Linked DNA regions of Caenorhabditis elegans. The protein of the gene in region 1 purifies or fractionates together with the protein of each later gene. This does not show direct contact. Each region holds a gene or a part of one and is shown on either strand. Other genes may lie near its edges.

What was found.
Region 2: the proteins of fum-1 (region 1) and alh-1 fractionate together in Caenorhabditis elegans (co-fractionation; one large-scale study listed by BioGRID). This does not show direct contact.
Region 3: the proteins of fum-1 (region 1) and unc-78 fractionate together in Caenorhabditis elegans (co-fractionation; one large-scale study listed by BioGRID). This does not show direct contact.
Region 4: the proteins of fum-1 (region 1) and alh-8 fractionate together in Caenorhabditis elegans (co-fractionation; one large-scale study listed by BioGRID). This does not show direct contact.

What each region holds. Positions count from the first base shown.
Region 1 is NC_003281.10:7,462,002-7,469,532, reverse strand, and holds fum-1 (putative fumarate hydratase, mitochondrial), read right to left. Parts: upstream 3,929-7,531; coding exon 3,809-3,928; intron 3,750-3,808; exon of another isoform or gene 3,600-3,749; intron 3,577-3,599; coding exon 3,245-3,576; intron 3,197-3,244; coding exon 2,335-3,196; intron 2,258-2,334; coding exon 2,066-2,257; 3' UTR 1,939-2,065; downstream 1-1,938. Other genes in the region: H14A12.5 (tRNA-synt_2 domain-containing protein), read left to right, coding at 1,444-1,553, 1,599-1,714, 1,766-1,938; H14A12.3 (Protein rogdi homolog), read right to left, coding at 4,511-4,678, 4,725-5,144, 5,268-5,491, 5,544-5,610; fipr-20 (FIP (Fungus-Induced Protein) Related), read left to right, coding at 7,138-7,266.
Region 2 is NC_003281.10:5,073,985-5,082,486, reverse strand, and holds alh-1 (Aldehyde dehydrogenase domain-containing protein), read right to left. Parts: upstream 4,723-8,502; 5' UTR 4,722-4,722; coding exon 4,629-4,721; intron 3,917-4,628; coding exon 3,788-3,916; exon of another isoform or gene 3,741-3,787; coding exon 3,544-3,740; intron 3,203-3,543; coding exon 2,925-3,202; intron 2,879-2,924; coding exon 2,132-2,878; intron 2,071-2,131; coding exon 1,982-2,070; 3' UTR 1,826-1,981; downstream 1-1,825. Other genes in the region: cox-6A (Cytochrome c oxidase subunit 6A, mitochondrial), read right to left, coding at 398-549, 617-752; Inactive tau-tubulin kinase ttbk-6, read right to left, coding at 6,519-6,629, 6,673-6,760, 6,807-7,126, 7,172-7,519, 7,784-7,789.
Region 3 is NC_003284.9:3,407,098-3,415,508, forward strand, and holds unc-78 (Actin-interacting protein 1), read right to left. Parts: upstream 4,519-8,411; 5' UTR 4,518-4,518; coding exon 4,445-4,517; intron 4,050-4,444; coding exon 3,571-4,049; intron 3,143-3,570; coding exon 2,650-3,142; intron 2,608-2,649; coding exon 2,111-2,607; exon of another isoform or gene 2,063-2,110; coding exon 1,876-2,062; intron 1,829-1,875; coding exon 1,722-1,828; 3' UTR 1,577-1,721; downstream 1-1,576. Other genes in the region: vit-5 (Vitellogenin-5), read left to right, coding at 1-687, 737-965, 1,011-1,146, 1,199-1,458; putative oxidoreductase dhs-27, read right to left, coding at 5,879-6,004, 6,051-6,212, 6,671-6,781, 6,852-6,923, 6,968-7,071, 7,114-7,347, 7,456-7,609. UniProt on the Caenorhabditis elegans protein: Induces disassembly of actin filaments in conjunction with ADF/cofilin family proteins. Regulator of actin organization in myofibrils.
Region 4 is NC_003280.10:11,727,092-11,735,051, reverse strand, and holds alh-8 (putative methylmalonate-semialdehyde/malonate-semialdehyde dehydrogenase [acylating], mitochondrial), read right to left. Parts: upstream 5,998-7,960; 5' UTR 5,974-5,997; coding exon 5,947-5,973; intron 5,787-5,946; coding exon 5,730-5,786; intron 5,676-5,729; coding exon 5,503-5,675; intron 5,456-5,502; coding exon of another isoform or gene 5,446-5,455; coding exon 4,938-5,445; intron 4,880-4,937; coding exon 4,430-4,879; intron 4,376-4,429; coding exon 4,019-4,375; 3' UTR 3,854-4,018; downstream 1-3,853. Other genes in the region: F13D12.8 (Col_cuticle_N domain-containing protein), read left to right, coding at 2,682-2,793, 3,229-3,375, 3,633-3,826; F13D12.5 (uncharacterized protein), read right to left, coding at 6,726-6,968, 7,016-7,115, 7,163-7,550, 7,603-7,813, 7,860-7,960. UniProt on the Caenorhabditis elegans protein: Probable malonate and methylmalonate semialdehyde dehydrogenase involved in the catabolism of valine, thymine, and compounds catabolized by way of beta-alanine, including uracil and cytidine.

The DNA.
Region 1 (7,531 bases):
TAAAAATGCTTGAATTAGCCAACTGGTATCATAGGTATTACCGGTACAGAGAGTGTAGATAGTTAGAGAGTGACAGACGTCCGGGACCCAATGGGGCGGGGCGCGCGGAAGAGACGATTTGTGTCGATTTACGAAATGATGACAACGAGGAAAACTTCGTAAATCGACACAAATCGTCTCTTCCGCGCGCCCCGCCCCATTGGGTCCCGGATGTCTGTCACTCTCTAACTATCTACACTCTCTGTACCGGTAATATTAAAAAAAATCGTTTTCTTAAAATCCATTTTTTCCTCTTAATGGCCATTTTTTACATTCCCCGTAGTTTGCCCGTAATTGGTCCGTCCCGCTTTTCATATCCGTAGTTCGCCCGTTAATGGTCCGTTCCCGGTCCAAGATCCGTAAACGGACCGTACCCGCTTTGCCTGTGATACTGAGTACCGTAGTTACTCCTCAAAGGCACATATTAATTTTCGAAATGTTCCACATTCAGTAGAACCAGGATTGTAATAGTTGAGCCTACAATTCCCGAATAACTGTATTCCTGATTTTTTCTTCAATTCTCCAGAGAACTAAACATAATTTTTTGCTTCAAATGTTTAGTAACTCAAAAATCAGTCACTAATACTCCTGGAATCCGCATTTCGTGGTAATGTTTGTAGTTTTCTTGACACTAATCGTCTTTAAAAATTAAAAATTATGGGTTGCACGAATTTATTTGGTGATAAGAACGATTAGGACTCTTCTTGTGAAAAATCGTGTTTATTTAATCGTGACCACTTCCCGTTCTTCTCAATTTCCTGTTAATTAAATTAAAAGTTCGATTTCTGAATTTCTTTGTTGAAAATAATATTTTCAGATTCTTCGGCTGTCTAGAAAATGGATTCTAGTCAAATGTTTTGTGCAGTGCTAGTTTCAATAATGTTCTCAATTTTCATAAAATCTATAATATTCCCTGAGAAACGAAATATTCAAGACAATAGGACAGATAAGCGTAAAAGTATCTCGTCACCAACAAAAAGCTTATTATTAGGAAGGTATGTTTCAAGAGTCTAATACGGTATCCGGTCTCGACACGCCTTTTTTGCCAAATACAAAAGGGTGTGCGCCTTCAAAGAGTACTGTAATTCCAAACTTTTGTTGCTGTGGAATTTTCAGATTGTTTTCACATTAAATTTTTAAAAATTTTCTATATTGTTTTATATCAATTTTTAATAAATAAAGATAATTTTAGCGAAAAACTATGAAAAATCGATGAAAACTCCGCAGCAACCAAAGTTTGAAATTACAGTACCCTTTAAAAGAGCACACCATTTTTTATTTAGCAAATAAGGCGTGTCAACCCCAGAACCGTATCTTTGGCGAAAAATCGCAAATTTTTTCGTCTGAGTTATATACAATTTTGATTTCAGAAAGTTCTCTGACACATTAAAACCAGTACTAGAAATGCATGACGTCATGGAGCTACGGAATCTATCGATGGTTGATCTGCAAACTTTTAATACACAATTTTCCAAGATAACTGATCGATATTGGAGAGAAATTTTCAGAAGGCAGTGAGTTGGAATTCTTCAAATAAGTATTTATTTCCTTCTTTACAGAAATGATTCCCATCATCCTGATCATATTAATGTGTCACGGTTACAAACTGCGAATATTATTACTGTTCTAGATGAGAATCTACCTCAAGGAGCTATTCAGGAACTCACCATAACTGGTAAAGTTCAATTTTAATGTTTAGTTATTCATTGAATTCTTCCAATTGCAGGTCTAATACCAAAACCATTTTCCTCTCGACGGTGTGAAGTAATGCGATACCTGAGAGAGCGGCTATCGTGTTCTCCGGATGTCGAATTAAGCTTTCAAGGCGATCAACTTAGAATTACAAATCCAACTTTAAATTTAGAAAATGTTCCGGTTTTATCTATGGAAAAACACTGAATAAAACAAAATAATTACAAACGAATCAATCGGGTTGGGTGTGGGATGGGCAAAGAGATTCTGAACATTTGGGGACATTGATTGACTAAACGAAGATGTGCCTACTAAATATTGATGCTTCAACACTTTACTTAGGTCCGAGCATGTTTTCTGGCTTGACCCATTGAGCGAACTGCTCCTCGGTAAGGATTCCCAGCTTCACGGCTTCCTGGACAAGGGTGGTGCCGTTCTTGTGAGCAGTCTTAGCAATCTTGGCGGCGTTGTCGTAGCCAATGTGTGGGTTGAGAGCAGTGACAAGCATAAGTGATTCACGCATAATCTGAAATGAAAAATCTATTTATCATCTACTTATACTTTAATCAGGTCTATAAATTTCCGCTAAATTTACTAACAAACCTTGGCAATATTGTCTTTGTTAGCAACGATTCCGTCGACACAATGATCAGTGAAGCTCACAGCGCTGTCAGCAAGAAGACGTGTTGATTGAAGAACATTACGAACGATAAGTGGCTTGAAAACATTCAACTCGAAATGTCCATTAGATCCTCCTACACTGACTGCAACTTGATTTCCCATAACTTGAGCGGCAACCATTGTGATGGCTTCACATTGAGTTGGGTTGACCTTTCCTGGCATGATGGAGCTTCCTGGTTCGTTTTCTGGGAGTGATAACTCTCCGAGTCCGCATCTTGGTCCAGATCCCAAAAATCTGATATCGTTTCCAATCTTCATGAAGGAAACTGCGACTGTGTTCAGGGCTCCGTGAACCTCAACGAGAGCATCATGGGCGGCGAGGGCTTCAAATTTGTTTGGAGCGGTAACGAATGGCAATCCGGTAAGTTCAGAAACAGTGGCGGCAACCTTCTCAGCGAATCCCTTGCGCGTGTTGAGTCCAGTTCCAACAGCGGTTCCACCGGCAGCCAATTGATAAAGTCGTGGAAGAGTCGATTCAACACGAGCAATAGAGTTATCAAGCTGTGTGACGTAAGCTGAGAACTCTTGTCCAAGAGTGAGTGGAACAGCATCTTGGGTGTGAGTACGTCCAATCTTGATGATATCTTTGAACTCTTCAGCCTTGTTGTGAAGGGCAGTGCGAAGCTTCTTGAGAGCTGGAAGAAGACGAGAGTTGACTTCACGTCCGACGGCAATGTGCATAGCAGTTGGGAATGTGTCATTTGATGATTGGGACATATTCACATGATCATTTGGATGAACTGGCTTCTTCGATCCGAGCTCTCCTCCGAGGATCTCGATAGCACTGCAATGAATTCAATAAAATCTTTAAACAATTTTTTTTAGTTTTTACCGATTCGAGATAACCTCATTGACATTCATGTTGGACTGAGTTCCTGAACCAGTCTGCCATGTAACAAGTGGGAAGTGCTCGTCGAGCTTGCCGTCAACAACCTCATCAGCAGCTTGGGAAATCGCGTCAGCCAGTTTTTTGTCTAATCCGAACTCGGTGTTGACAAGGGCGGCGGCCTTCTTCAAGATTCCGAAAGCGTGGATAACTGGGATTGGCATACGCTCTTCTGGTCCTCCAATCTTGAAGTTCATCTGGGAACGGGCGGTCTGGGCTCCATAGTATTTGTCGGCTGGAACCTCGAGCTCTCCGAAAGTATCTCGTTCCTTACGAATCTACAAAAACTCATTTGCATATAGATACTGTTAAAAATGCTAAATATTGTCAAATGAGTATATTATTTTGAATTGTGTTTCATTTCAGAACATTTCATGATGTAGACAGAATGTTCGAAACTAAATATGTTTTGATCGTTCAGTTCTATCTAAAATATCTCCGAAACACTCAATTACATTACTTGTTTGCCTATGAACTTTTATATGGTTGTTATCAGACAAAAAAACAAACCTTAGCCATTGGAACAGTGGTGCGCGAAAAATTGCGGGCAGTGGCAAGAGACGCTCCGCGGGCAATGACGGCGCCTCCACGAGCAAGCATTTCTCCCTGTAACATAGAGACTGCAGACATTAAGAGAAGAAGTTAGATAATGAAAAATTCAGAGATCACAGAGAAACGAACTAGTTTCTCACGTTTCCAAGGGTTTCTGTTGCCTGTGTGTGAAGGTCAAATCAGTTGAAGCGTGGCGAAAATTATTATGATCTTTAACCGATTTTGCGGAATCAAAAATCTCGAAAAGTTGAAGAAACCACGTGGTTACATAAATAATTGCAAATCAAACTCGGCATGGTTCATCTTGGAGAATATGCAATAAATCCAGAAAATATACAGCTTTTCTCTTCTCCCGCACAAGTTGAGATCAATTGGAAAATCAAAAATGAAATAATTCGGATATTAAACCCGTGATGGATTAAATGTTGTAAAAATCAGTTCAAACATAAATCTAAATATTTTTAATGACATTCTAAATTATGACCAAAATATAGTAATGCATGGGTGGAATGAAACAAGACGAGTTGGTGGAAAGTGAAATAACTACACAACTTTGAAATATATGAACATCCGGGGAAATAAATTAATATGTACACATCTAAAGAAGTATCATCTAATTGTCCTCACTATTGTTATACAATCCTTTCTAATAATTATATTCTACGACATAGTAGCCGATAAATAATTAATTAGTTTCTGCAAGATTGCCATCACTGTATTCAGATGCTTGATGACATCGTCGAGGTGTGGAAGTTGAGATTCTGCCATGAACACTGAGAGGCCTTGTGGATGAACTGTCTTCGGAACCATTTGGTAGGATGCACAAACCTTAAAATGTGTATTGATTATTGTGAATTTGCATTTTAAAACATACCAAGCGGCAACATGAAATATAGAAGGAGATTAGTTGATCTTGAGGAAGAGGTGGAACAAATTTCCGGGTCGGTGGGAAGTAACACAACTCCAACAGGCTTCTTTTTCTAGGTAACATAATTGAATTTCGAGCCAATGATATTTCATTCATGGTGAGCTTGAGTTCCTCCAAAATACGTGCTCCGGTAGCCAGAGTGAAAGCATCTCGTTCTCCATCTCCTTTCAACAAATTAACTTCATGTTGTAAATCGCAGAGAGTGATTGTAACTCTGGAAATGTGATTTCCAAGATCCTGAAGTTGTTGAAGTTTCCATTGGACGTCGGGTTGTGCGACTGCTCGATAATATCCACCACCAGCTTTAGGATACTTTACGGTCACTTCAGCTTGAATAACATTGTCGTCCAGAAGTGTGACTGCTGCCTGAAACAGTTTTATAGATGAGGCGAAAATGTTTAAATTTATGAAAATAATTAAGGGCGATTATTTTTTTTAAAGACTGCCGACGAATTTCCGAAATTTTTCGTTGTGAAATCAAATACTCACCTTCAGATTATCAGAGCTACCAGTTCTCGACATTAGCTGATATTTTTCAGTCGTTCCATGACTAACGGCAACGTTCAAACGTTCATCGCATTTAGCCGATAAATTCAATACAATGCAGCAGGCTTTCAGATGTTCCAGCGCACTTCGCAAAGTCGTGTCAACATCTTTTCTCTGTATCCAAAGGTTTTCGTTGGTTTTGTTAGAGCGAATTGTGTCACGGATATCTGTTAAAAATGCACTTTGATAGTTTTTTAATTAAAAACCCAAAATGCTTACCCTGCGGATTTGGAGATGCGGGTTTCGGCGGATAATTCGTGGTTATTGTAAGACTTTGAACCTCCATTGTATTGCAGAAAAAATCAATAAAAATGATAAAATTCCACAAGAGAAGCTGAAAAAAACCCGAAAACGGGTCGCCGGGCGGCAGTGTGCAACAGAGCGCGTTTGCTTTTGTTTGGTAAACGTGAGATTTTCAACATTGCAAGACCTCTGGGAATAAAAAAAAAGTAAAAACGCGGTTTGTAAACAAAAAATTCATTGAAGTCAATGAAAAACCCAGCAATTGCTAGCAAGAATTAGCAGAAAAAAAACATAAGCGATCAATTGCTACAGTACTCTTTCCTTAAAGGCGCGTGTCAGAACTGAGTCTTTCGTTGCGAGACCTCTAGTACAACAAAAAAGTTTAAACATTTACTGTATAATAGAACTTGAATAGCAAAAGCTCAAAAATAAAGTGAAAAGTTATGAAAATTGTGGTTTACAATATTTATTTTCAAAATTTTTTTCATTAATTTTTTTCAATCCAAAGTTCTTCAAATAATTTACCCTTCCCGTTGACACATGTCAAAATGTTCCGAACGTGCGATTCAATTGATGGTAATAAATCATTTTCGATACAGGAGGAACACATCTGGTTAGATGGGAAAATAATTGCTCACGGAGCAGCCGGGATATTGAGAACTAAAGGATTGATAGGGTCGTTGAAGAAAAGTTTGAGGTTTTATTAATTGGTTGGACAACGTGGTTACCAAGCTCTCATATTCTTTTTCATGGAAAATTATTAGATGGCACCATTTTGATTCTAAAATGACCAATTAGTATAGTGAAACTTTTCAAAAAAAATTGAAATTCATTTAGTTTTCAATCAAAAATCATTTTCGCTACTTATAATTTCGGAAGTTGACCAATTTAATCAATTTTTTAAGAAATCATTTTAAATTCTGTTCAAATATTTGTACTCAAACACTTTTGAGGTTCAAACGTGCCAAATTGCTCTACATTTTTCAAAAAGTCCACATTTTTGGAAAATTTGGCATTTTGCCAAAACTTTAATTAAGAGTTTTCAAATATCAGAAAAAAACAAATTGAAGTGATTTTTAATGGTAATAGGCCATTTTTGATCATTATATGTAAGTGTACTTAGACCAAATTTTAATTGGCGCTTTTAGATTACTGTAAATTCCCTTCAGAACTTTCCAATGTGATTTCTATTTAGACGCCTATGCGCTGGCCTTTCAGGTAGCCTACGCCTGTCTCGCGCCTAATAAAACAGATGTGAACACAAATCGAACACTTTTAAAAATTAAATCTTACAGTTAGCTAGAAACAACGTTGTTTCTATTTTTCAGATTCTCCTGTTCCGATTTCGATATATACTTTGATTCAACACAAAAGTAAAACAATGAGTTTGCAAAACTGTGCAAAGAAACTTTATAGCTTCGGAGTTTGATTCCCTGTTTGCGGGGTGATCTTTCACGCATAGAGACTACTATAAAACATCCCGGTTTGTCGGAAAAGTCACGATTCAGTCAACCGAGTCAAGGTAAGCATTCTCACTTTCAAGTCTTCTCAAAAATCTGAAAATTTCAGTATGAACTTCTACAACATCTTCATTTTCGCCGTTCTCTCAATTGCCGCCGTTTCTGGACATCGTTGCCGTGGTGGAAACAACTACGGAGGAGGTGGCCGTGGAATTGTCATTGGAACCGCCAAGGAATAATTTGAATGATTTGTTGACCTTGTGTTAATGATAAAATTGTGAGCATTTCAAATCTTTTCTATATTAACTTGTTGAATTGGCATTCTAAGCGTTCCATGCAGGAACCAAAACACCTGCTTGGCCTCAAGGAAAACGCTGCATGGTTTGGGCCTAAATCCTCAATTCCTATTTTATTCTTTGATCAAAATTAGAAAATTAGAATTTCGTAAACTCACCCAAAAATTGAGAAAGGAGGCGAAAAACAGGAATGGTTTCTATTATCAAA
Region 2 (8,502 bases), 2.4 Mb from region 1:
TCCAGCAGCTGCAACTAGAACATGTTGGCTAAATTGGAGATTTAGCTAAAATTTTTCTTACTCTTTTTTTGAAATTTTTAACCATCTTGGGAATTTATTGAGACCAATCGTTTTTTTTAATTACTGAGAAAACGCCAAATTATAAAATTGTATAATCATTTAAAAGCTTGATTGTAGAAATTAAAATTCCAAAAAAGCGACTGTTTTTTTTTTAATTCGTTTTGAATATTATTAAACTTCACAGTCATCCTTTTTAGTTTGAAAAATGCCAGAAAGATGACATTTTTAAACAGTTTGCCGATAACTTCTTTAATGAGGAAGACATGAAAGCTAAATAACATTTTTTAAGTAAAATTTTAAACTATGGCAGATTTCAAGATAAAAACGAATATTTTACCTTGTTGCGAACGTTCAAGAAGGCGTACTCGACGTGCTCTGGGCGTTCGTGGCTCATGTGTTTTTTGTGATCCTTGAAGGCGGCATACATGGTAAGAGCCAAGCATGGAATCGAAGCAATGAAGAAGATTTTCTTCCAGGTCTCGCTAGCATCTGAAAAATATATTTTAATCTTTGAACATCAAAATAGAAACTATTTATTTTAAAAAAAAACACTTACTGTGAGCTTGCTTGAGTGGAGTGACATATGACTCTTTGAATCCTTCGACATTGTTGGATCCGTAAAATGATCCTGAGGATTTGCGTTGGAAGGTCTTGACGACCGAGCGGGTAGCTGGTTGAGCGAGACGGTTCATGTCGGATACCTTTAAAATTTGAAATGAAGTTGAGATTTGTGAGAAAAACGGAACGCGGGGGGAGAAGGAGGGGGAACAAACTTGTTTACGTGAAAATTGAGAAAAAAAGAGAAAAATCAGGTGATTTGATGAAAAAGTACAAAATTGTGATTTTTAAATCAGAAAAAGCAATAAAACAAACTCACAAAATAAAAACAAATGAGGTTTTTCTTACGTCTTAAGAAACCTAATAATTGCTATGAAGAATTTTAGAAATTTAAACCCGACAATAATGATTGAATGACATGGTTGAACACTTGCAGATTTGAATTCGAAAAAGTGGAATTTCTAGTCGAACAATATCGATTTACGGCTGCGGTTTATATGCTATTGTGGTTAAAAAATTCATAATTTGTAATTTAATCATTTGAAACTCAAAAATAATCAATAAAAGCACTGTTTGTGAAGTAAAACCACAGAAACGCACGTTTCCTCAAGAGAAAATAACGGAGAGGCCGTCTTCGCTGCGAGACCAGCCGGTGAAATGGCGTGCGCCTTTAAGGTGTGTGAAATAATTGTGCTGCAACATGCTGTCTAATTTGCCTATTATCTCCGTTAGAAATGCTTCAAATTTTCTGAAACTTTGTTACCTGTTAAAACATGACATGTAGAACGAACACATAAAAAATTATTAATATCGATTCATTGGCTAAAAAGTTATTGACGGAAATAAGTATCAAGTTTTGGTTCGATTCTTGCCCTTTTTGAGTTGCTTGACGGAGAATTGCGGAACCCACGAGATGTCTGCCGCCTTGCAGGTGGCCACTATATAAGCAACAACTGGTCCTGGCTGTCTCGTTCTTCCGAGAACATATACTAAAATTGGAACAATACAGAGAAGATTAGCATGGCCCCTGCGCAAGGATGACACGCAAATTCGTGAAGCGTTCCAAATTTTTTTTAAAATTTCGCGTAACCTACCGGAAGCTCGTAAAATTTTTGCCTTTTGAAGATTTTACGACTGATCCTCTAATGTACAGAGTAATAATTCGTTTGTCCTGAATCAATCAATTCACAAAGAAGTCGAGACTTTTATGAGTCGTCCTGTAGGTGTCTATTTCTTTCAGAATTCTTTTTCAATATATGTGAAAAATAGATAAATACAACACGTATATTAAGAGCAATAAACATTTTTCAAAAAAAAAAGCAAAAGGAACAAAAATTACAGGGAAAGCGAAAATTCAAGAAATTTATGAGTTCTTCTGTGGAACCTTGATGGTGACAGTCTTTACTTCAGTGTATGCCTCAAGACCATATTCTCCGAGTTCGCGACCGATTCCTAAAAGAAAAAGTATTTTTTAACTTTGGCATGGAGAAATTTTAATAATAAATTAGCTTACCGGACTGCTTGAATCCTCCGAATGGAGCAGCAGCATCGAACACATCGTAACAATTAACCCAGACAGATCCAGCTCTGGTTGCGTTGGCAATATGAAGTGCCTTATCAATATCCTTAGTCATAACTCCAGCAGCCAATCCATAAATAGTGTTATTAGCCTTTTCAACTAATTCTTCCATTGTGTCGAATCTAATGATAGTCATAACAGGTCCAAAGATTTCTTCTTGAGCAATAGTCATCTGATCCTTAACATTAGCGAAGATAGTTGGCTTCACAAAGTGTCCTTGATCTCCGTGTTTGGCTCCTCCAGTCACCAATTGAGCTCCATCCTTCTTTCCAGCAGCGATATATTTTAAAATAGTCTCAACCTGCTTTCCGTCAACTTGTGGTCCTTGAGTAGTTTTCAAATCAAATGGATCTCCGATAACAGCCTTCTCGGCCAATTCCTTGGAACGAGCTACGAAATCATCATAGATCTTTCCTTCGACAAATGTTCTGGATCCGGCACAACAGCACTGTCCTTGATTGAAGAAGAGTCCGTGGTTGGCTTGATGAACGGAATCATTGAGATCAGCGTCAGCGAAAATGATGTTTGGTGATTTTCCTCCGAGTTCCAAAGTGACCTTCTTGACATTCGATTCTGCAGCAGCCTTCATAACAAGTCTTCCAACTTCAGTTGATCCAGTAAAAGCGACTTTGTCAACATCCATGTGCGACGAAATAGCTTGTCCGGCAGTATGTCCGTATCCTGGAATTTATTTATTTGAGAAACTCACAATTTTTACAAAACTGACCTGGAATGATATTAACCACTCCATCTGGGAATCCAGCTTCTTTTGTGAGAGCAGCCACGTGAAGGGCTGAAAGTGGAGTCTGTTCGGCGACCTTCATAACGACTGTGTTTCCCATAGCCAACGCTGGTCCAAGTTTCCAAGCTTGCATAAGAAGTGGGAAGTTCCATGGAATAATCTGTCCGCAGACTCCCACCGGTTCGTGACGAGTGTAAGTGAAGTAGTCACCCTCGATTGGAATAGTCTTTCCGTGATTCTTGTCAGCCCATCCGGCGTAATAACTGTAATAAAGTTATTTTTTAATGTTAGCCATTTTTCCTTTTTTTACAATAAATTTTAATTTTTCTCATCAATACAAACAAAATTTGATTCAAAAAATTGCATTTTTTGGCTGTTAATTTTCTAAACAGTTTTTTTTGATTTACGGTTGTCCGGACAATCAAAAATTTTTGTTTTTCGATTTTTTTCTCTCATAAAATTGAGAATTCGAAATTATTTTTGTAGATCTCTTTGCTCATTTGGCAGTAAAGTTTTTCGTTTTTTCTGAGTTTTCTTCTTAATTACAGACTATTTTGGGATTTTTTTACAGCAAAATTCTCCAATTTATGCTATTCGAACTCACCGAAGAGTCTTGATAGAAAGTGGCAGATCAGCATTGTAAGCAACTGCATATGGCTTTCCATTATCCAAAGATTCCAAAGATGCCAAAATAACTCGATCTCTCTCCATTAAATCAGCTAGTCTATTCAGAAGAACTCCACGTTGAGAAGCATCCATTCGTCTCCACTCACTGCCGATACGGAATGCATTTTGAGCAGCCTAGAAAAGTTTGAAGATTGCTTTAAAATTCGAATTTAGATTTAAACCTTGACAGCGATATTGACATCTGTTTTATCTCCTTCTGCGACTTGAGCCAAAACTTTTCCGTTGGCTGGATTGATAGTCTCAAAAGTCTTTCCAGACTTGGCTGGCACAAATTCATTGTTGATGAAGATCTGGAAATTTAGATATAAACTTTTTTGAAATTTGAATCCCTGATTTGGAGAAGTATCACATTTCGTCCTAATTCTGCCCTCTAAGTTTATTTTCTCAAATCCGATCATCGTTCAGTTTTGATTGCCCTATCTCACTGTTGACCGAGTTCATTGTTCATTTCGTTCTCCACCTCAGGCGACCACGTTTTCCCTATGAGATAGTATCAGCTCTCTTCTTTTTCTTTTTATTATCATCATTTTAAATTGATCGTACTCTGTGTACTAGGTACACAACAGAGCACAACGTTGAGGGCACGTGGTTCCGTTGAAATAATGTAATGAAAACATGAGAAGAGAACATTTTTGCAGCAGAAAAACAGATCAAAAGGTTCAAATTCATCTTTTTGGTTTCTGTTGCAGTTTCTGATAACGGCGGTTTCAAAGCGCACGTAATGTGATGTTCTTGTAACTTTGAATTTCGCGGAAAATACGGATTTTTGAGAAAAACCAATAAGATTCGATGCACAATTTCCACTTTTGTTTTCTTTTTCTTTAAACACAAATTACTTGAAAATCAACGTTTTTAGAAATTGGCGATCCAATGGGCTCCGTAATTTTTTCTTTCAAAATTCAAATTAGAGTCTCTCTCAACATTGTCTCCATTTTCAAGGTTATCCTGTGTGATTCCTATCTTTTTTGCAATTTTTTTAAAACAACGTTCTGAGAAACTTACGCCGGTGTATTGTGGTTTCATGTTGGAAAGACCTGGTGGAACACCGGAGGCATTTCGTGCCTGAACTGTTGCCCGGAGAGCTGAACGGAGCATTCTGAAAATAAAAATTATAAAGGATTTACCCGAATAAGGCAAGATTTTAAAGAAATTAGAAAGAGGACGCAAAATAAAAATTTACAGGTGAATGAGGTTAGATATTGTGAGTTCACAGCAGCTCGTTTCTTCATAGAACATTTTAAATTTTAATTAAATAGAAAATAAACTAGTTCCAGTGGTAATTCGGAAACATCGAATCAGTATATCTAAAAACTGTGGCAAAAAGTGAATATCAGTATTGCAGAGACTTCTGACAAAATTATTCAAAATCGATTAACTAATCTTCTTCCAAAAATTCAACTCTAAACAAAATAGAGAAAACTAAAGATTAGATATGAAAAGAATGGACAAACACGCCAGCCTCGATGGTTAGGGTCGAAATAGATAAGAGAACACTGAGCGATGGTTGAAAAGTGACAGAGGAGGAGTCAAAAAGGCGGAGATGCAGAGAACTGCACACACAAATATACTTCAACGAAACATCTTCGAAAACAAAAAGATGAAGAAGCACGTGCTCGAATAGAACCAGCACAAAATAATGAGAATTTTTTGGAGTCCTGAAGAATAGTCAAGTATTGCACAACATGATTTAACCCTTGACCATTTAATATTTCCATGTCGAGATGGGATCTTTGGAAATGATGATAAATGAAAAACTTTGGAAAGATTGAACGACAGAGACAGGAATAGTTTCAGCAGAAATCAACTACAAAATTAAGAATTATCAAATATAAACAGAGTGGTTAACAACAAGATTCATCGTTAGTCCTGCCTAAAACCAGCAGAAAATAAACAAACGTGCAAGCATTTCAGCTGAGATTTGTTTTTATTGACAGATATAACTTAATTCTGAGAGGAAACGCGATCTTAATTCAAACGGAAGATAAACATTCAGGAAAATATTCTCAAACTGCGAGAAAATCCGAAAAAAAGAGCTAAAAATGTTTTTAAAATAGAAAGAAACTTCGAAACTGGCGCGGTGCCCTTGCTCAACAGAGCGCGCTTGGTGGCGAGACACTACGAACCTTTAGAAACTCTACTCCAGAGAAAGCAGTTACAAAGTCAACACTTGGCTTAATGAAGTAACAAGAAAAAAAGGACGAATGTAACGAAAATCTGAAGTTTTTTTTATCATATCAATTAGGCTTCGGGCTTCAAGAAAAAAATCGTCAGCCGTGGGAATCTTTTGAGAAAATGAAAGCATTCAAGTTTCTCTGCACATGTTTGAAAAATGTCATACAGTTGAATAAAAAAGCATTTCAGCATTTCACAAGCATGAGAAGCACGGGTCGCTTGAAGATTATTGTTTGAAAGTAATGATAATATGTCATAGGTCACAATTTGTATAGGCCACAATATGTCTTAGGTCATAATGGAACATGATTCATAAATGTTAAATAACAGTTGAAAAGAAAGGACTGTAGGATAGAATATTAAATTTTGTTTTCCATAAGAGACTATTGGAGCTGTAAACAAAATTAATGTTAAACTTTAACCAACAATTTCGAAGGTTCATGTTGTCAACAATGAAACCAGATGAATCTTGAAGTGAACAAATGTGTTAATTCTTCCAGTTAAACTTAGAATCCGAAAGATCTATGTTCGTTTTTTTTTTTGAAATCTGCCAAAAGATATTGGACGCCAGAACTTCATTAGCTCTAAGATGATGAACTATTAGGAGGAGCCAACTGTAGTTGAGGATTCATAGTTTTTGTTAATTTAGCAAAACAAAATCATTTTCTAGTCCTTTATTCAAATCTCATATATCTCTAGTTTTCAAGCTTCTTCCCACTTTTAAAGAACAAAATCCACTTCGGCTGGAGTAGGTGGGCCGTTGATTTCAAGAGGATTGGATTGGAAGTAGCGTCCGTCTGGATTCTCCCAAGCTGCAGGTGGAACAGACATCTGGAAGAATGAATTATTCTGAGAACTCAAAGGAAATTCTTACATCAGGCTCCTCATTTTCCCAGTCGAACTTTGAACTTGGAGTGATCTTCTCGTTCTCCATGACTTGCCAGAAACACTTGAAGATCATGCTGAAATTTAAATCGTATAAATGGATAGGAAATATAGAAAACTCACTGATCATCCGGTCTTTGGTAGTAATTGAGGGAAGCCAAATGAGGCATCAATTTATCCATACAAGCTGGCATATCAGACATGACATCCTTTGGCGTCAAGTTCAGCTTCATTTGCTCCACACGTCCGCGTCGATAATCGGTTTGCCATGGGAGTGCCTTTCCGCCGTTGAGCTCAATGATGACGTAGGGCAGTGACCATACATCGTCAACTCGTCCTTGCTCTTTACGGAGATGGACATTCGGAGACGCGTAACGAAAACTCCCACGAAACTCTGCAGAATGACGAGCTATACGTACAATCCATTTATTCTCTCGGGCATGCTGAAATTATTTGTAAATACTATGAAGTTTTAATGCTTAACTTACATAACGAGCGAAAGGTCTTCCAAGACCAAAATCCAAGATGTGAATGATTTTTGCTCTTTCACTATCCTTCTCATTTCCCAAAAATAAGTTTTGTGTATTCACATTACGATGGATGAATCCATTGTAGTGCACATATTTCAATGCATAAACCCATTGAATTCCAACACGGCTCCATGTTCCACGTGAAAATCCTTTGTTCACAACAAAATTCGTTGATTCCAGGTCTTGGAGATTTCTCCCCAATAACGTCATGACCATATAGGAGAAATTCATCTTTTTTCCATATAAGTTTAAGTTTGGGATGTGCGGAGCTGGTCCGTTGGCATTCAGCTTCTTCAGGACATGATCCTGAAATTTTCAGATACGTTTCTTGCTCAGCTGATACGTAGTCGTCTTAAGATAAGGATTTGGCCATATCTTACGCGCAAAGGTTGAGACAACGAGTTACTGCTCTCCCTTTCGAAGTTCTCCTTCTCGCAGTTCTCATTTTTGTGGTGCCTCGTTACAGTAATTTGCTGCTCTCGGGGTATAAGATTAAGGGGTATAAGATCTTTGCGTATAAGATGTGACAAAAATTATAATCTTTAGACGTCTTCGTGATATCAATCATACCTCCATCTTTATTGTATTTCCACCTTCGATTTCATTTGATTCGGCCTTCAGAGCAGCCACTTTATTTGGATCACCTCTGGAAGTGAACTATGAACTTTGAATAAAGGATTCAAAAATGAATTTTTTAAAACTAACAAAAAACCTAGACACCCACAACTCTGGTTGTCTGCTCTGATTAGTTCTTTGAATTTCGCGTTCCTTTTTTGTACAATGTCACTGTCATTGCAGATTTAAGTTTGTTTATGTTTAATATCCAGTAACCAATTTCTTGAGATTATCTGAACTAGGTGAACATGCTTCCTTGAAAACTTCCTTCAATTAAAAAAAGTTGTGAGAGTAAAATAATTTATTTTCTCCAATAACACAAAAATAAAGTACCAAAAAGAAGTTTTTTTTCATTACAATGAAGAATATTTTCTTCAAAATATGTTTTTTCTTTATAATCTTAGAACTTAAAAGACCGAAGTCATCATCTTTATTCTCCCAATTCCTACAATAAACCATTTACGAACACCAACACCAACACCAATATATTATTGGCCAATAAAGTAACATTTTTCAAATAAACTTAGAATCCATCCCCGAGATCAGTTTTCTATCAAAAGTCACTTTTATGAGAGATTGTCATAATTTTAAAAAATTTGTCAATACACCGAGATTGTCGTGTCATATCTTATCAATATAGTAGTTTTTTCGACAAATCCTTCCCGCTCCCCATG
Region 3 (8,411 bases), on another chromosome or scaffold:
CACAGTCAATGCTCAACTCGAACAATCCACGGAACAAAAGAAGTTCATCCGCAACATCGAGCGTGAGTACAAGGGAATTCCAGAGTACGAACTTTTGATCAAGGCTGCTCGTCTTAACCAAGTCAATGTTGTCTCTGAGTACAAGCTCACCCCACAGTCTGAATACACTTTCTCCCGCATTTTCGACCTTATCAAGGCATACAACTTCTGGACTGTTTCTGAGAAGCGTGTCCAAAACGAGAATCGCCGCGTTGTTCTTCAACTTTCTGTTGAGCCACTTTCCCGCCAATACATGAACATGACCATCCAGACTCCAGAACAAGAAGTTGAGTTGAAGAATGTTCGTATTCCACGCGTCGTTCTCCCAACTATTGCTCGTAGTGCCATGTTCCAACAAACCTGGGAAAAGACCGGAGCCACCTGCAAGGTTGACCAATCTGAGGTTTCTACCTTTGACAACGTGATCTACCGCGCTCCACTCACCACCTGCTACTCTCTTGTTGCCAAGGATTGCTCTGAACAGCCAAGATTCGCTGTTCTTGCCAAGAAGATCAACAAGAACTCTGAGGAGCTTCTCGTTAAGGTTGTCCGCCGTGAGGAAGAAATTGTTGTGAAGAAGTCTGACGATAAGTTCCTTGTCAAGGTTGACGGAAAGAAGGTTAACCCAACTGAACTTGAACAATACAAGTAAGCTTTAACTCTAAATCACATGAATTTTTCTAATCTCGTTTTTCAGTATCGAAATTCTTGGAGATAACCTTATTGTTATTCGTCTTCCACAAGGAGAGGTTCGTTTCGATGGATACACTGTCAAGACCAACATGCCATCCGTTGCTTCACAAAACCAACTTTGCGGACTTTGCGGAAACAATGACGGTGAGAGAGACAATGAGTTCATGACCGCTGACAACTACGAAACTGAGGATGTTGAGGAATTCCACCGGTCTTACCTTCTCAAGAATGAGGTAATCAGATTTTTTCAATGAACTGAATGTAAATTTCATTTTCAGGAATGCGAAGTTGAGAACGACCGCATCTCCGAGAAGAAGAACTACAGAAACAAATGGAACAGAGAAGAGAAGAAGTCCGACTACGAGAGCAGCTCCGACTACGAGAGCAACTACGATGAGAAGGAAACTGAGAAGGGTTAGTCTAAGGCTGAATGATGTGTAGTTTTAACAAAATACATATTTTTCAGAACTCGTCAAGAAGACCCTCATCAAGGAGTTCTCCAACCGCGTCTGCTTCTCCATCGAGCCAGTCTCTGAGTGCCGCCGTGGACTCGAATCCGAGAAGACTTCCAACAAGAAGATCCGTTTCACTTGCATGCCACGCCACAGCAAGAACGCTCGTCGTTTCTTGAAGGAAGCTCGTGAGCAAACTGTTGCCGAGTTGGTCGATTTCCCAGTCTCCTTCGTTGAGTCTGTCAAGATCCCAACCGCCTGCGTTGCCTATTAGATTTCATATGTTTTATTAATTTTCTATTAAATAAAGCATTTTCACTAGAATGATTTTTTTTCTCATCACTTCTAGAAAACAAATACACATGTTGTAAGGATGTCAATCGAAACACAGCTTTGCACCAATAGTTTTTATTTACGCGTGTATTTAAGGCTTCGAAGGAGATGATAGTGCTTGCAGTAAACACGAAAATTAGTGATAATTATGAAAATCAATATAATTTTAAGGATACTTAGAGGGCAATCAAAAAGCTTCTCGACTTAAAAAGGTACATTCCAGAACTTGATATTCGAATCTTGTCCGGCCGACACAATTGTAGTTTCGTTGAGCCAAATTACCGAATTGACAGACGACATAGCATGAGCACCTATAAAAATGTTGTTAAATGTGTTAAATTAATAGAGAAATATTTACCTTTAATGATGATCGGATGATCAGATGGTTTGTTCATGTTCCATACAATAACGCTGTTATCCAAGGAACCGGTCGCCAAACGGACATTGTCCGGTGACCAGGAAACACATGCAACCTTGGCGGTATGGAAAGTCCAGGAGTTTGTGTGAGCTAGCTCGAAGTTGTTCGCAACAGAGTACGGGATAACCTGAATTTTGAAATCTATAATAGAAATGATTTTTTTTCAAAAACTAACCTTTCGTGATTGATCGGTTGCCACGAGGAAAGCTCCATTATTCGAAAATGCGACAGATGTGATTTCAGCAGGATGGACAATTGTTTTAACTTCAGAGACACTTGCTCCAGAGAGTTTGTACACATGGACCTTCGAGTCTTGTCCACCAACAGCAACAAATTGCTTATCGTTCGATAATGCCACACAGGAAGAATTGTAGCTAATTGGTACTTCCGTGAGCTTTCCATGAGAGTAAATTGCAATATGCTTATAGCAAGCAGCAACTGCAATATCTCCATCTGCGGAAACGGCGAGACCGAGAGGTTGCGAAGATAATTTGTTGGCAACAGCTTTGGAAGAATCGACTCCAGAACCTCCGGCAGGAACAACCTTCAGATGATCATCCCAACTGACGGTGAACAAATCACCCTTGCTGGTTGTCTTGATTCCGGTGATCATTGTGGCGTGAACATCCGGAAACACGCGGTTTGATATTCCTGTGGAAATATCCCAGGAGTCTGAAAACAAGTTTTAAATTTCGAAGCACTGAAACTACTCACTAATATGTCCTTCAGCATCAGCACTGAAAAGAGTTTTTCCATCAGCGCTGCTGCTAAGTGCAGTAATCGCCTTGTTGTGTCCGTATCTAACCTGATCGATACTTCCCAATTCTGGATTGACAAAATTGATAAATCCATTAGCAGAGATAGACACAAGAGCCTGCTTGGTCCAAATGATTCCAAGTTGTTGATCTTCAATTCTAGTTCCAACGGGAATAGTCTTTTCAACCTTTAATGTAGCCACATTCCAAATTTTAATGGTCTTATCAGCAGAAGCCGATGCGATTTTTGTACCATCCGGGCTCCAGGTAAGGCCAAACACAGATCCAGAATGAGCGACATTTTTCAAAGAGTCATCTTCAAAGACTCCGGTTTTTGTTCCATCAACTCCGTTGTATAACACAATGGTTCCATCTCCTCCAGTCGAGGCGAACAGAGAGCCATCAGGGTTGTAGCGCACAGAGTGGACGAATTTCGTATGTTCTCCGAAAGTCTGGAAAAATTGGAAAATAAATTTGAAACTGGTTTTTTGTCTGAAAACGTATTTGGAACACTCGAGTCATTTAAAACAAGTTTCCTTCTATCAAAATTAAATCTCTGTTAGAGTTGCACTGACAATAAGCTACTGAAAAGATGTTTGCATTCCGGTAGTATTAAAAATTCACGCATACGTTCAGGTTTTTTTCTACATTATTTGTTGATAGTTTCTGAAAAAAAAGTTCGCTCAGTGTTTTTTTTAATGTTTTATCAAATAAAAAGCATGAAACTTCAGCGAAAAGCTCACGCGAAATTATCTTTTTTGGAATTAAAAAATACAACTTAACACAAACCTAATAGAATAACATGTAGTATTTCGAAATACTTTAAGCGGAACCTTTGTGGAGAATTTTCAAAAACTAATCCAATATTACAATCACTTACACTTTTAAATTTGAATGGTGGTCCTTCAAAAATCGCCACTGTATTATCATCAGATCCAGAGATAATGCGGAATGGGCGTGATGGCTTGAAGTCGACGCTGTTCATAGCGCGAGCTTGTCCGGTAAGATTTCCATTAGACGTTCCAGTGTCAAACAAGAAAACATGACCGAAACGTTCTCTGCCTTCTCCAACGGCGGCAATTCTCTTACTTTCGCTATCCCACGAAATATCCTTCACTGGTCCAGAGAACACCGGAATAGTAGTTTTCAGAATGTGGGTGGTTTGAGTTGTGTCCCAGATACGAACATTTCCATGAACATCACCAGAAGCACAATAATAACCACTTGGGCTTGTCTTGGCGACAGTCGTTTGGTGAGAATGCTCAGTGTAGATTTCGGTGTCGGTTAGGCTTCCAACTGGTACAGTATAAACCGATGTTCCGTTACAATATTGAATCTTGTCTCCAGCGGGGGTGTTGCCTGGAAGTATTTTTGTAAAACGTGATTTAGCTTTCCTATTAACCGTTTCACTTTGCACTTTTTCTGTTGCCAAAGCGTCTCACTAATACTTAAATATTTCATCAATGATTTTTACTATTTTTCGCACAATTGACAAAAAAACTACAGTAACAACAAGCGCTACAGTAGTTTTTTAAAGGATCAATGTGGTTTTCGCTACGAAATACTTTAAATATGTTGCGCAATATGAATTTTCAGAATTTTCTACTTTTGCAAGTGAAGACTAATTATTTTAAAGAAACAATTTATCTGAAAATTAGTATTGCAGCCATATTAAAATATAATGCAGCCATACGGCTTCAATTTCTAGTATTAAATAGTAAAATCACCGTGCAATTAAAAATATAAAAACTCACCGAGAACTACGGCAGTTCCTCTAGCAGTGCGAGGCAAAGACGGGAACAATGCGGTTTGAGAGAATTCCGACATTCTGCAAAAATTGTAAAAATTGAGCAGGAATCCAAAAGATCGAAGGAAGAAAATCAATAAAATCAAACGAGAGCATTGAGAAGAAATAGTGACGACAGCGGGTGAGGAACTAATGAGGGTGCGGAAGGACAGCGGTCACTGGTCACTAACAAACAGTGCGCGCGGCCGAGATGGGGTTTCCTAGGCCGCAAAGATTGAACAACTGTTTTCTTTGCTTGAAATATATAAGTTTTTCGACGGAATTTTATAATTGAAATTTTCTTTTTTTTTTCTAAGAAAAAATTATTAATTTGGTCGATCTATTTTTGTTGATAACGAAGAACAATGCGATAGTTATTTGTGACGTGAAAAAAGTGAATAAGTGTTATTGTTGTGAGAAAGAGGAGGTCAATAGAAAACGGGGCCCGCCGGCTCGCCGGGTGGAAAGCATTCGACAGCAAGACGTGTTTTTCAATCTGCGACTCGGCGATTCCCATCATCACTCGACAATCGAGAAACGGAGGTTCACGCAAACAGAGGATCGGCTGTAAACTCCTCGTTGCTCATCGACCGCTTTTTTTATTATTAGCCGTCACTGGAAAAATCGATAAACCTGCGGGGGAAGCTTTGGGTGAAAAACACGTTTTTTTTTCTCGAACAACATGTCGAAACAAAACAAAATAAGAAGAAAATTGGTCGGGTTTTGCAATAACTTTTCGAATGAGAAATGAAACATTTTCTCGATGAGACAACTCACCAAGCACATGTGATTCATGTTGCATACACGTTAAGGAGGGGCTGACTAAGCGAACTATAGCCTTATCGCAACAAAAAACGATTTTTTTCCTCCCTTTTCTACTTTTCTCGTATGAATTTGTGCAAACTAGAATATGATTCCCCGTGAGTCACCGGAAGAGCTAAATTTTCAATATCAATATATTCATTAATATAAAAAAGACATGTTATTATTTAAGTCCAAAAGTATTTTTGAATAAAGAGTACTACAATCCAAACTACATACTAAAAGCTTATAAAAAATTGCTGACAACTTGGCTTCTCGAGATGTTTCAATAGGAATATTCGAAAAACAAGTAGATCATAAAAATTTGTATATTTAATTTTTTAAAACTGTTTTTCTTTCTCTAGAGCCAACATATTTGCAGGATTCAAGTGTGTGCAGCAATTCTGTGGAGTATGGCCAGTGGGAAAAATTTGAAATGTTTTTTCTGGCAAAAAAAGCTTCAATCGGTGATCAACTTTAAAAAAAAGATTCTAAAAAATTAAGTTCACACGAAAACTTTTTTATCTGAAAAATAGCATTCAATAAAAAAAAATCATGATAAAAATGAACGAAAATGGATAAACGTGAAATGATAAAAACTCTAATTATTCTTTCTCGAGTTCTTCGCTTGATAAGAGGCAACACGATGCTTATGAACTCCGAGCATAACAACAGGGACGAAAAGTACTTTGAAAAACCAAAAGGAGAACAATGTTCCAAGGGCAACCTGAAATTTTGCAATATTCAGACCACTAAGACACCATTGATTTTACCTGAACATCATGTTGCACACAGCCCGTTGTGATTTCCCAATTAGTCCCGATAATTCTGACAGCTTGTTTGGCAAAGTTTTCAGGGGTGACAACGAAGATATTGTTCGCTTCTTCAGCTTCATACGAGGCGACCTTGGTAGCAACGAGCATTGGAATGAGACACTGGAAAAATGAATAAACTTACACTTGAGTTTTTTTTTAAAGTTTGTGAAGAAAGATTTTGAGTTAAAATACAATACGTTTAACAATAAATTGAATCAGTTCTGGCAAAATCATTACATGTAACTGGTTACGTTTAGACGTGCGACATTTAAATTAAAAACTCCGTTGTTGTAAGTATTAATATATACATTTTATAGAATACAAATTTTCAGATAAGCATGTCATTTGACAGCTCGTTTTTCGATTAGGTATCTACAATTATTCAAAATGCAAGAACACAACTCAAAAGCTTTCTGAAAGTATTTCAGTGCATTTAAGGCTGTTTAACGAAGGCTCTATATATTTGAAATTTTGAATTTCAATTTTGAATGCCTTGAAGGAATATTTAAAACGTATTGGACAATAAATCGGTAATTGTTAAGATTTAAATTTAAAGTGTACCTATTGAAAATACGTACCTGAACACGAATTCCAGTTCCTCGGTATTCATCTGACAAGGAGTCGGAGAAGAAGGATAATGCAGCTTTGCTAGCCGGGTAAGAACTGAGGTACGGAAGCGGCCTCCAGCCCTGGAAGTATATGATTAGTAAATCTCGGAAGTTACGGTAGGTAGGTAGGTAACGGTTGGTAGGCGCTTACCGTCATTGATGAGATATTTACAATGATTCCTCGCTTTTTCTTCACCATGTTTGGCAGAATCATCTCGGTCATCTGAAACAAAGCCTTAATTTGGAAAAGTATCAGAGTATTGAAACCTTAACAGCAGACATCAGGTTAACACGAAGAATCTTGGACGCCAATCCTTCTGGCAGCTCGGTCAGTGTTCCAATGATATGTGGAGCAATTCCGGCACAATTGACTGTAAAAATACATTGTGAAAATGTTGGAAAAAATTGCTTACTCAAAATTCCAACATCTAAAGTTTCGAGATCCTTGGGGAGAGCTGACAAGTCGTCTTTTTCAAAATCATGGACATGGCACATAACCTCGCATCCATGTTGCTCCACTAGCTCCTTCTTGGTGTTGTTCAATTTGTCGATATTGCGGCCAATCAGGTAGAATTTTTTGAGCCCTCTTGTTTTGCAGAGTTCTTCAATGTACGCTTTTCCAATTCCATCGGTTCCTCCAGTAATCACTGTAGCAATGAATTTTGAATTTCAGAACATGATTCAACTATATTGTTCAGGCAGCTTTAGCCCAGAATAGTATTTTATTCAAAATAAAATATAAAAATATAACATACCAGTCCAGGTATCCTTCAAGTAGTCCAAGTCGTGTTTCGGTGTGATAAAATGCACAAGTACACTCTTACACATAATGTACAGAAATTTGAGAACTCGGACGCACACATATGAAGTAACGGCAAACTGTGCGGCACTCCATAATGCGCCTGACATCTGAAATTTTAGAATTCTTTGAAAAAAAAACAGTTGGTGACAAGACAAGAATGTAATAATTTGGGTCAGAAAATGCAGGAGATGAGAGAAATGTAGCAAACATTGACACAGATAGAAAACCTTTTATGAGTAAGAGTAAGAAGAACAGTAGCCTGCAGAAAGGAGGATAATGAGCGGAATGATCCAAGGCCGCGTGTCGGCGCACACAGGAACTGTGTGCGGATGACCTCGTCGTCCCTCCATTTTAGGGGGGAAAATGGGGGGGGGGGGGACGGTCAGATTGATAGTTTTGGAGTGTGTGTGTGGAAACGGACGTTGTCCTATATGACGAGAAGAATGCAATCACCAGCGGCAACAGCATACAGTGGAGATTGGTATATGAAATGTTTGACGCAACAAGTGACCAAGTGTAAAAAGATATTTCTCGTTCTTTTATTGGATTCGTAATACTTATTGTCTGAAGTTCCCACAGTTCCATTGAACTAAATCTGAAGATTATGCAAACCAGTTTGTTTTTCTACCACGTTTCAAGTGTTAAAAAAAAACGAATCCCAAGTACTCTTAAAATGTAATAACTATGTACTAAAAAATGTCATTTATTTATTTACTCTAATACGTTTTTGTTTACCTTGTATTGCTGGTAAAAGTAATGAGATTACTACATGAACCTGAAAATAAAACGTATGCCAAAAAGGTCTATTAAAGTTTTTTGTGTCTACCTGGAAAATATCAATAAACCTCCGTCTATTTGATTCAGAATAATTAATTTCTATCTGCATTGGGAATATCTTTGAAAATTTTT
Region 4 (7,960 bases), on another chromosome or scaffold:
GTAAAATGTGTTTTTAGAATTAAAATTTTTCGGTAATCACCAATATACCAATATATATTCATCCTAACTAAATCCCATCCCTCTCTCTTTCCAAAAAATGCTTTTACCACAATTGAGAGAACCTCTGCTCCTCCTTCAAATGTCATTAACCTCCTTTCTCTCTTTCCCATATACCCCCTGGCTTCATCTTCTTCTTTTCCATATTCCTCATCATCATCTTCTGCTCCTTTTCTTTATTTACTCTCAAAATTCTTGTCCATCTTGAATATTTCACGTACCTACTTTGTAATGCAGTTTTCATGATGAAAGTTTAAGCTTAGAAAACTCCAAAAAGTGGTCATTCTGTGCTCGGTGTCCTTGTATTATCGAGTTACAAAATCGACACTCACTGAGACACTCTAGAAGAGTGGGAGGATTGAATTGCAACCAATTTTATGCACTTTTTTGGAGCAATTTTTTAGAACTATCTCTACTTTATCTCAAAGGTTTTCTTTGTAGGATGGTCTACGTTTTTAGCTTTGATTTTTTTGGAATCTGGTGTCAATTTTTTGTAAAAATTTTGTTTAAAAATACTCAATTTTTGGAACGTTATAATATGATATTTGTGCTTAAATTTTTTGTAAAAAAATAATAACTATCAAACTATTTAAAATTAAATTTGCAACAATTACTTAGTTGGCAACTTTTTGATAACTTTTTCCACTGACCAGATATGAAAATTTTTCGGAGAAAATTGGGCCGATTATGTGCTTTTTCTAATTTAAAATAATTTATCTCCAAAACAAACTAACAAAATATTAATCACAAAATTAAAACAATTAAAATAAAATAAAGTAATCATTATTATAAATATGCACATGATTTCCTAATTAAATATAAAACTTAATTTTTCGAACACTCACTATTTTGGCAATAACTTTGAAATTTCCCAAATGGCCGAGTCAGTTTCCAAAATGTATATAACCTTATCAGTATGCCTAGATCGCCGAAAACCCCGAACTAAAAAACTAAAAGAACATGATCATTATCTGTATGTCTATTCTCATCTCCTCCTCCTATTCCAAAACAACTCAAACTCAATTTCCCGCCGCCGGAAATGGAAGGGCGTGGAGCTATCTATTTTTTGTTGCGAACTGCAGATATCACAACTTCCGAGCGGGGGTTTCCGGTTTTTTTGCAGAATTTTTGAAATGTTCTCATTGGAAATTTAAATTTTTCTTCGGAAGTTTTCATATATTTTTGGAAATTTTTGAAACCTAAAGTTGCATATGATTTTTGACACAATTATCGGAAATACTCCTACACATGCGTGCGAACAATTTGAATATTTTTCCATTAGTCTGTACTTTTTTCTGCTGAAAAGTGCGTGTTCATGCGAAAACTCGGCCATTTCGCAAAAGCTCTAAACTTTTTTAATTAACTTTTATTTCCTATTCCTCAAAAAAAGTCATTTTTGTCAGTCTATCGAATTTTCAATTTGATGAACTCTGTCCCTTTTTTTTATTAAATTAATTTCGCTTCTTGCACTTTCCCGACTTTTCGCTTTGGACTCACCACTTACGGGGCCGCAAATAAAATCGATGACCGAGTTTTTTGACTGATTACAAAAAGCAAATATTGTGGCCGAGTTTTCACTTCCGCGGCCCGACGGGATTGCGATTACCAGGCCAAAACAAAAACGGCATTTGGAGTCTCGTTTGGCCACGCCCACTAATAAAATGCTACGTGTCCGCGAAAATATGGCAATTTAGCAACTTGAGAAAACAGGAACTTGATATCAGTTTTGTGAAAGAAAGAAAAACTCGGCCACTAATTTTTTTCGCGGCCACATAGATTTTTTAACAGCCACAAAAAGACAGTGGCCGAGTTTTATAACATTGGCTTTTATATAAATTTACCTTATCGTCGGCTTCATTGCTAAGCCTAAGCCCAAGCCTAAGTCTAAGTCTAAGCCTAAGTCTAAGCCTAAGCCTAAGCCTAAGCCTAAGCCTGACCCTAAGCCTAAGACTAAGCCCAAGCCCAAACGTAATCGTAAGCCTAGCCTATGTCAAAAGCCTAATACAGATCCTAATTATTTTCTTATTTTCCTTATTCTAAAAATTGAAAAACAAATTACAGAGCCCCGTTTTTTCCCTAATAACCTAGGATTAGAAGCTACAGTACCCGTACCCAATTTTCTTCCAAAAATCCCATTTTCCCGAACGGATTTGCATTCTCTCCTGTCATTCCCATTCATCATTAGTCGAGAATGTTTTAGGGAAAAAGGAGAAAAGAGAAAAAGGCGAGGCGCCCGCCGCAAAATTAATGGACTCTCTCCTGCTCTGTGTGCATGTGTGCTCCGAGTTGAGCAGTCCCGTTCTGCTTCGACGAGTCCATATGTTTTGTATGCGAAGTAGGGACTTCCGAATTGATTGGGCCAATATTCATTATGTATCGACGACGGCCTTTCCCCTCTCTCGTATGACAAATTCTTCTTGTCTTCAAACGCTCATAACTTTATTGCCAGGCTAGGTAGACAAAAACTGTCAACTGGAAAAATGTAGTACACAATTTTTTCTACATTTTCTACATTTTTTTATTACCTACAATGGGAAAGGAGATATAATTCATTTTGTTTCCCTAAAATTCCATCTCAATTTCCAGATTGATCGTCATAACATTCAGCACCTGCTCATGATTGAATGCGTTGCGTGGTTCGTATTATTCTACTGACCTGTTTCATTTTTGTCGCCTTCATTTATTTGGCCGTCTCACATGCGAATTCCAAAATTGTGATCGCTTTTGATGCAAATGGTAGGCTTTTTTCGAAATTTCGTTATAGTAACCAGTTGTTTAAAGGCGCAAAATTTTATAAAACTTATTTAGAGTTAAAAAAACATCGAAAATTATAAGTTATTACGTTTTTTCATAAAAAAAAGGTCTCGACGCGATCAAAATATTTTCAAATCTACCCAACAAAAAGTATGCACCTTTAAAATTACAGTAACCCATTTCCCGTTATTTCGCAATCTTCGCAAATGAATTTTTACAAAATCTGAAATATATCAATATTTTATGAAAAATACGATTTTGAAAAATTCAGCGAGAATTTCACAACTACAGTAGTCTTTAAAAGCGCACACAATTTTCCTGCAGAAAACTTCCGGTCGCGTCGAGACCCTAGCAGTACCGTATTTTTTGGTGAAAAAATTACAAAATTCAACAATATTCCTCAAAATATTTTTTCAGACGAGGAAGCCCGCCGAATTCTGGACAGCGCGATCCCGTCGCCGACGGTCGCCAGTCCATTCAACAACAATGCACCACAGTCGATGTCCGTTTCGGTAGCATTGGTGCTTATCGTATCACTTATCAGTGTTGCTCTTCTTATCACAGGTTAGATTATTATGAAGACGCAGAAAATGCGCTCCACGGCCAATTGGAACCGCTCCGCCTCAAATAGTTGGGTCTCGTTAGGAAAAACTGGTAACTTGAAAGTTACCACTTGAAGCTAATTGAAAATGCTGAATTTTGGTAGAATACCTAATGAGACCCACGGTTAGGAGGCGGAGCGTTTTCAATTTGCCGTGGAGGGCGTTTTCACGTTGATTGGGCATTTTTTCTACGTCCCAATAATATTTTATATTTTCCAGGTATAATCATAATCGCCGTCACGCTAGATCCAACTTCAAATAGTGAGGAGGATGAGGAATCGGATTTGGAAATCGACGAACCCACGGCGGCTCGTTCCAAACGGAATGATAAACAGATTGCCGATCCGAATAGTTACTATCCACGTTTTGATTATGATTTCAATCATTCGAATACGATTCTCTCTGAACTGTGATTATTTTCCCCCATTCCATTTACGGGTCTAATCGTCACTTTTATGATAAAATGTGTATTATATATGAACAAACAAGAAATGAGAGGTTGCAAAAAACCATGGCAATAAACGTTATTGAACAAGAATAAAAGAACCAAGAAGTGATTGTGTGTGGGGATGGATGAGAGAATTCAGAATTCACAGAATTTCAATTTACTTGAGCTGTGGGAACGACATTTGTGGCTTCAGCTCGGTGAGCGACTCGTTCCAGTATTGAGTGACAGTCTTCCATTGAGTGTAGAACTGGATTCCGGCCTTTCCGTAGAAGTTGAGATCTCCGAGGAATGAACCACGCGAGCCGGTGAACGAGAACATTGGGAGTGGAACTGGGATTGGCACGTTGATTCCGATTTGTCCGACATCGACTTCGTTGGTGAACTTTCTGGCGGTGGCTCCGTTGCTGGTGAAGATGGCCGTTCCGTTTCCGTATGGGTTGTTGTTGATGATTTCGATGGCCTCGTTCAAGTTCTCGGCCTCCATGACGACAAGGACTGGGCCGAAGATTTCTTCCTACAAAAAATTAAATATTAAATTAAACAAATTTAAAAAAAAACAAAATCTTACTCTGTAGCAAGTCATATTTGGCTTGACTCCAGCGAGAATCGTTGGTCCCACGAAGTTTCCATTCTCAAATCCTGGAACAGTGATATTGGATCCATCAAGTGGAACCTGAGCTCCCTCCTTCTTGGCACTCTCGATAAGACGGAGGACACGGGCCTTGGATTGCTTGGAGATCAGTGGTCCGATGTCGGTATCCGGCTTCCATCCAGCGTTGACCTTCAAGTTCTTGGCCTTCTCGACGAGTTCTGGGAGCCAGGCGCGAGCTTCTCCGACGAGCACAGCGGTGGTGAGAGCCATGCAGCGTTGTCCGGCGGCTCCGAAGGCGGCAGCGGTGAGCTGATTGAGGGTCTGTTCTTTGTTGGCATCAGCCATGATGACTCCGTGGTTCTTGGCTCCCATGTTGGATTGGACGCGCTTTCCGTTCTTGGCTCCACGCTCGTAGATGTGTTTTCCCTGAAAAAATCATGAAAATTGATTAATGTTCATAAAAAACAAATTCAAAAAAACTTACAGCAGCATCTCCTCCAACAAATGAGATAGCCTTGATATCTGGGTTATCGCAGATAAAGTTAACAGCAGAGTGCTGTCCGTGAATAATATTGACACATCCATCTGGAACTCCGGCCTCCTTGGCAAGTTCGACAAGAAGCTGAGCTGCTCCTGGATCCTGCTCGGATGGCTTGATGACCATAGTGTTTCCGGTGGCCAAGGCGACTGGGAACATCCACAATGGGATCATAGCCGGGAAGTTGAATGGACAGATTCCGGCGGTGACTCCAAGTGGGATTCTGTAGGAGTGGGTGTCCATGTCGCGAGAGACATTTGGAAGGGTCTCTCCCATCATCAGGGATGGAACGGAGCAAGCGTGCTCGACGACCTGAAGACCTCTGCTGACGTCTCCCTCGGCATCTGGAAGGGTCTTTCCTTGCTCAATGGTGATGCTCTCAGCGAGCTTCTTCATGTCTCTCTTGATCAAGGCTTGAAGTTTGAACATGCATTGTTGACGGGTCAGTGGGGATCTGGAAACTTCTATTATTGAAATAAAAAAAAAAGATCACACGGGATTCAAGACTCACGTGTTCTTCCAGGTGTTGAAGGCATTCTTGGCCGAGTCAACAGCGGCTTGCATCTCAGCTTGGGTGGCGTTTGGCACCATAGCGATGACCTCGTTGGTGGCTGGATTGGTGAGCTCCACGAAGTCGGTGGTCTTCGATTCAACAGCTTGTCCATCGATCCACAGCTTGACAGTCTGAAAAATTATGGAATTTGGATTTGGAAACTTAAGATCAAGCCTGAAACTCACTGGTGCGGCGGCAGCAGACTTCGATGTGCTGAAGTGGGCGAGCTGTTGGCATTTTGGCTGAAATTAGAATATTATTTGAAGTTTTGAAGTTTTGATTGTTTGATTTTCGTTTTCTTTTTCAATGTGTCACCCCATACGACAACTGTCGCACAGACTGCAAGTGATGTGTGAAGTACACGATTTTTTGTTAAAAAATATTATAAAAAGAAACTCCTACCTGAACACGAGCAAGACGAGACAACATTCTGGGGTACCGCAAGTTTTAGAGCTGAAAATTAGAAGATAATGACTGAAAACGCACGAGAAGAAAAATTGAAAATCACAAGAGATGGGCGGTCGCGTGGTGGTTCTGACGATTCGGATAATGCGAAATGAATGAAAACTAAACATTACTGATCACGTTTCGAATTTTGAACTAAGAAATAAATAAAATAAGCCACAAAATACACGCGAACATTGAAAATTAAAAGGTTAAAAGCTCTATCTGCGAGTTTTTGAAGTTTCAATGCTGTTGATAAGACGACGGGAGGAGTGGCAAATAGGACAGAAGAAGAAGAACAGTTGCTTTTCTCTCTCTCTCAGCAAAAAAAGAAGAAAAAGAAATAAAAAAGAGTCAGAGAGTGGGAAAAGTGATAGTGCAAGAGACTAAGAGACGGCCACAGCACGTGGAGAGACCTGCAACTGCCCACCATTTGACCCGTGTGCACTTGGAGAAACGTGATCGATGCGTCTCGAAAACTCGAATACAAAAATAAAATAGTGTTGGTGAATAAACAACGTTAAGATAAAGATCATTAATTAAAACAAATAAAAATGCGGAATATTTAATTTTATATAAAAAAAAGAAACAGAAAGTGCTAGGAAATGTGACAAAAAAAAAAGTAAAAAATTAAAAATTATGAGATGAGAATATGACAGTGTCTAGTGTCTAGAAGGATAGAAGGCTAGAAAAGATTGAAAAAGAACGAGAATGCTATAAATTCAAATAAAAATGATTTAATTCCACTTGTCGACGGAGACATCCAAAAGTCCTGGCTCATGGAAACTCGCTGGGAAGCTGCGCTGTTTCGCGATGAAGATGGAGGCTTCAGTCTCCTGATCCTGATGATGAGAGGCCTCGTCAGCCGAGACAAAGGACGATCGGAGCCAAAAGATGTAGACGCACTGGAGAATCACGAGAAGGATTAAGACGACGCAGAACACGATCAGCCACATCATCGCGTTCACATTGCTGTCGGTCTGGAAATATATTTAATTTATAAATTTCTTCAACACAACCAGCTCACCTCAGACGGATTATTGCGAGCCAGGTAGTCTGCCTGCTCGTTTTCACAGCTCTCCTTGTTGTAATTCTTTCCATCTCTCAACATGCAATAATCGTTGGCCCTGAAATTATGAATATTAAATTCGAAGATCGATGATTTCTTCAAAACCTGATGATGAGGAGCTTGTTGGTCTTCGGAACAACACTGTAAATCGTCTCCGCGTTACAAGTGATACTCCATTCCGAATCGAGTGTTGTCAGCGTTGAGGACAGGGTCTGATGCGTTTCGTTGACATCTCTCACACTCGTCTCGTAGAATACTCCGTTCGAGACACCTTGGAGTTCGCCGCTCAACAAGGAATTTTCGATTCGTCGTCCAGCCATTTTTCCGGTGATAATCGGCACGACATCTTTGATTTTTGCTTGGAACATCTCCACGTGGCCATTAATTCGCTCCTTGTAGTAAACTGCATCGGTGTATGGATCCTCGACCCAATCGAACAGTCCATTCACAGCGTGGCCAGTGTACTTTGCGATGTGCAGCTTGTCGAATCGATCTGAAAATAAAAAATTATGATTAAAAGGCAGGCTTATTAAGCAAGTGATTACCGCTGAAAATGCCATGCAAGTAAATTTGCTCGATATCGTAGAATGGAGGAGCTGAAAAGTCCAGGTAAAGCATGTGTCGAGTCGTGTCGAACATTGAACGGGCCAGATTTCTCTTCGCCTTTCCTCGAGCCCCGTCTTCGCGGTAGATCGACTCTCTTGACCCAATGTTCTCCTCCCGCTTCCCGGAGTTCTTCTCGAAGCCATTCGACATCTAAAAAATACGAAATTCAACACTTCAACCACTATAATAAGCATACATGCAAATCCGTGATCTTGATATTGTAGGTGAGACTGTCTTCTGTGACAGTCAACACCCTCGGCGCATGGATGCCATCCGGATCTCGGACCAGGTGAACGC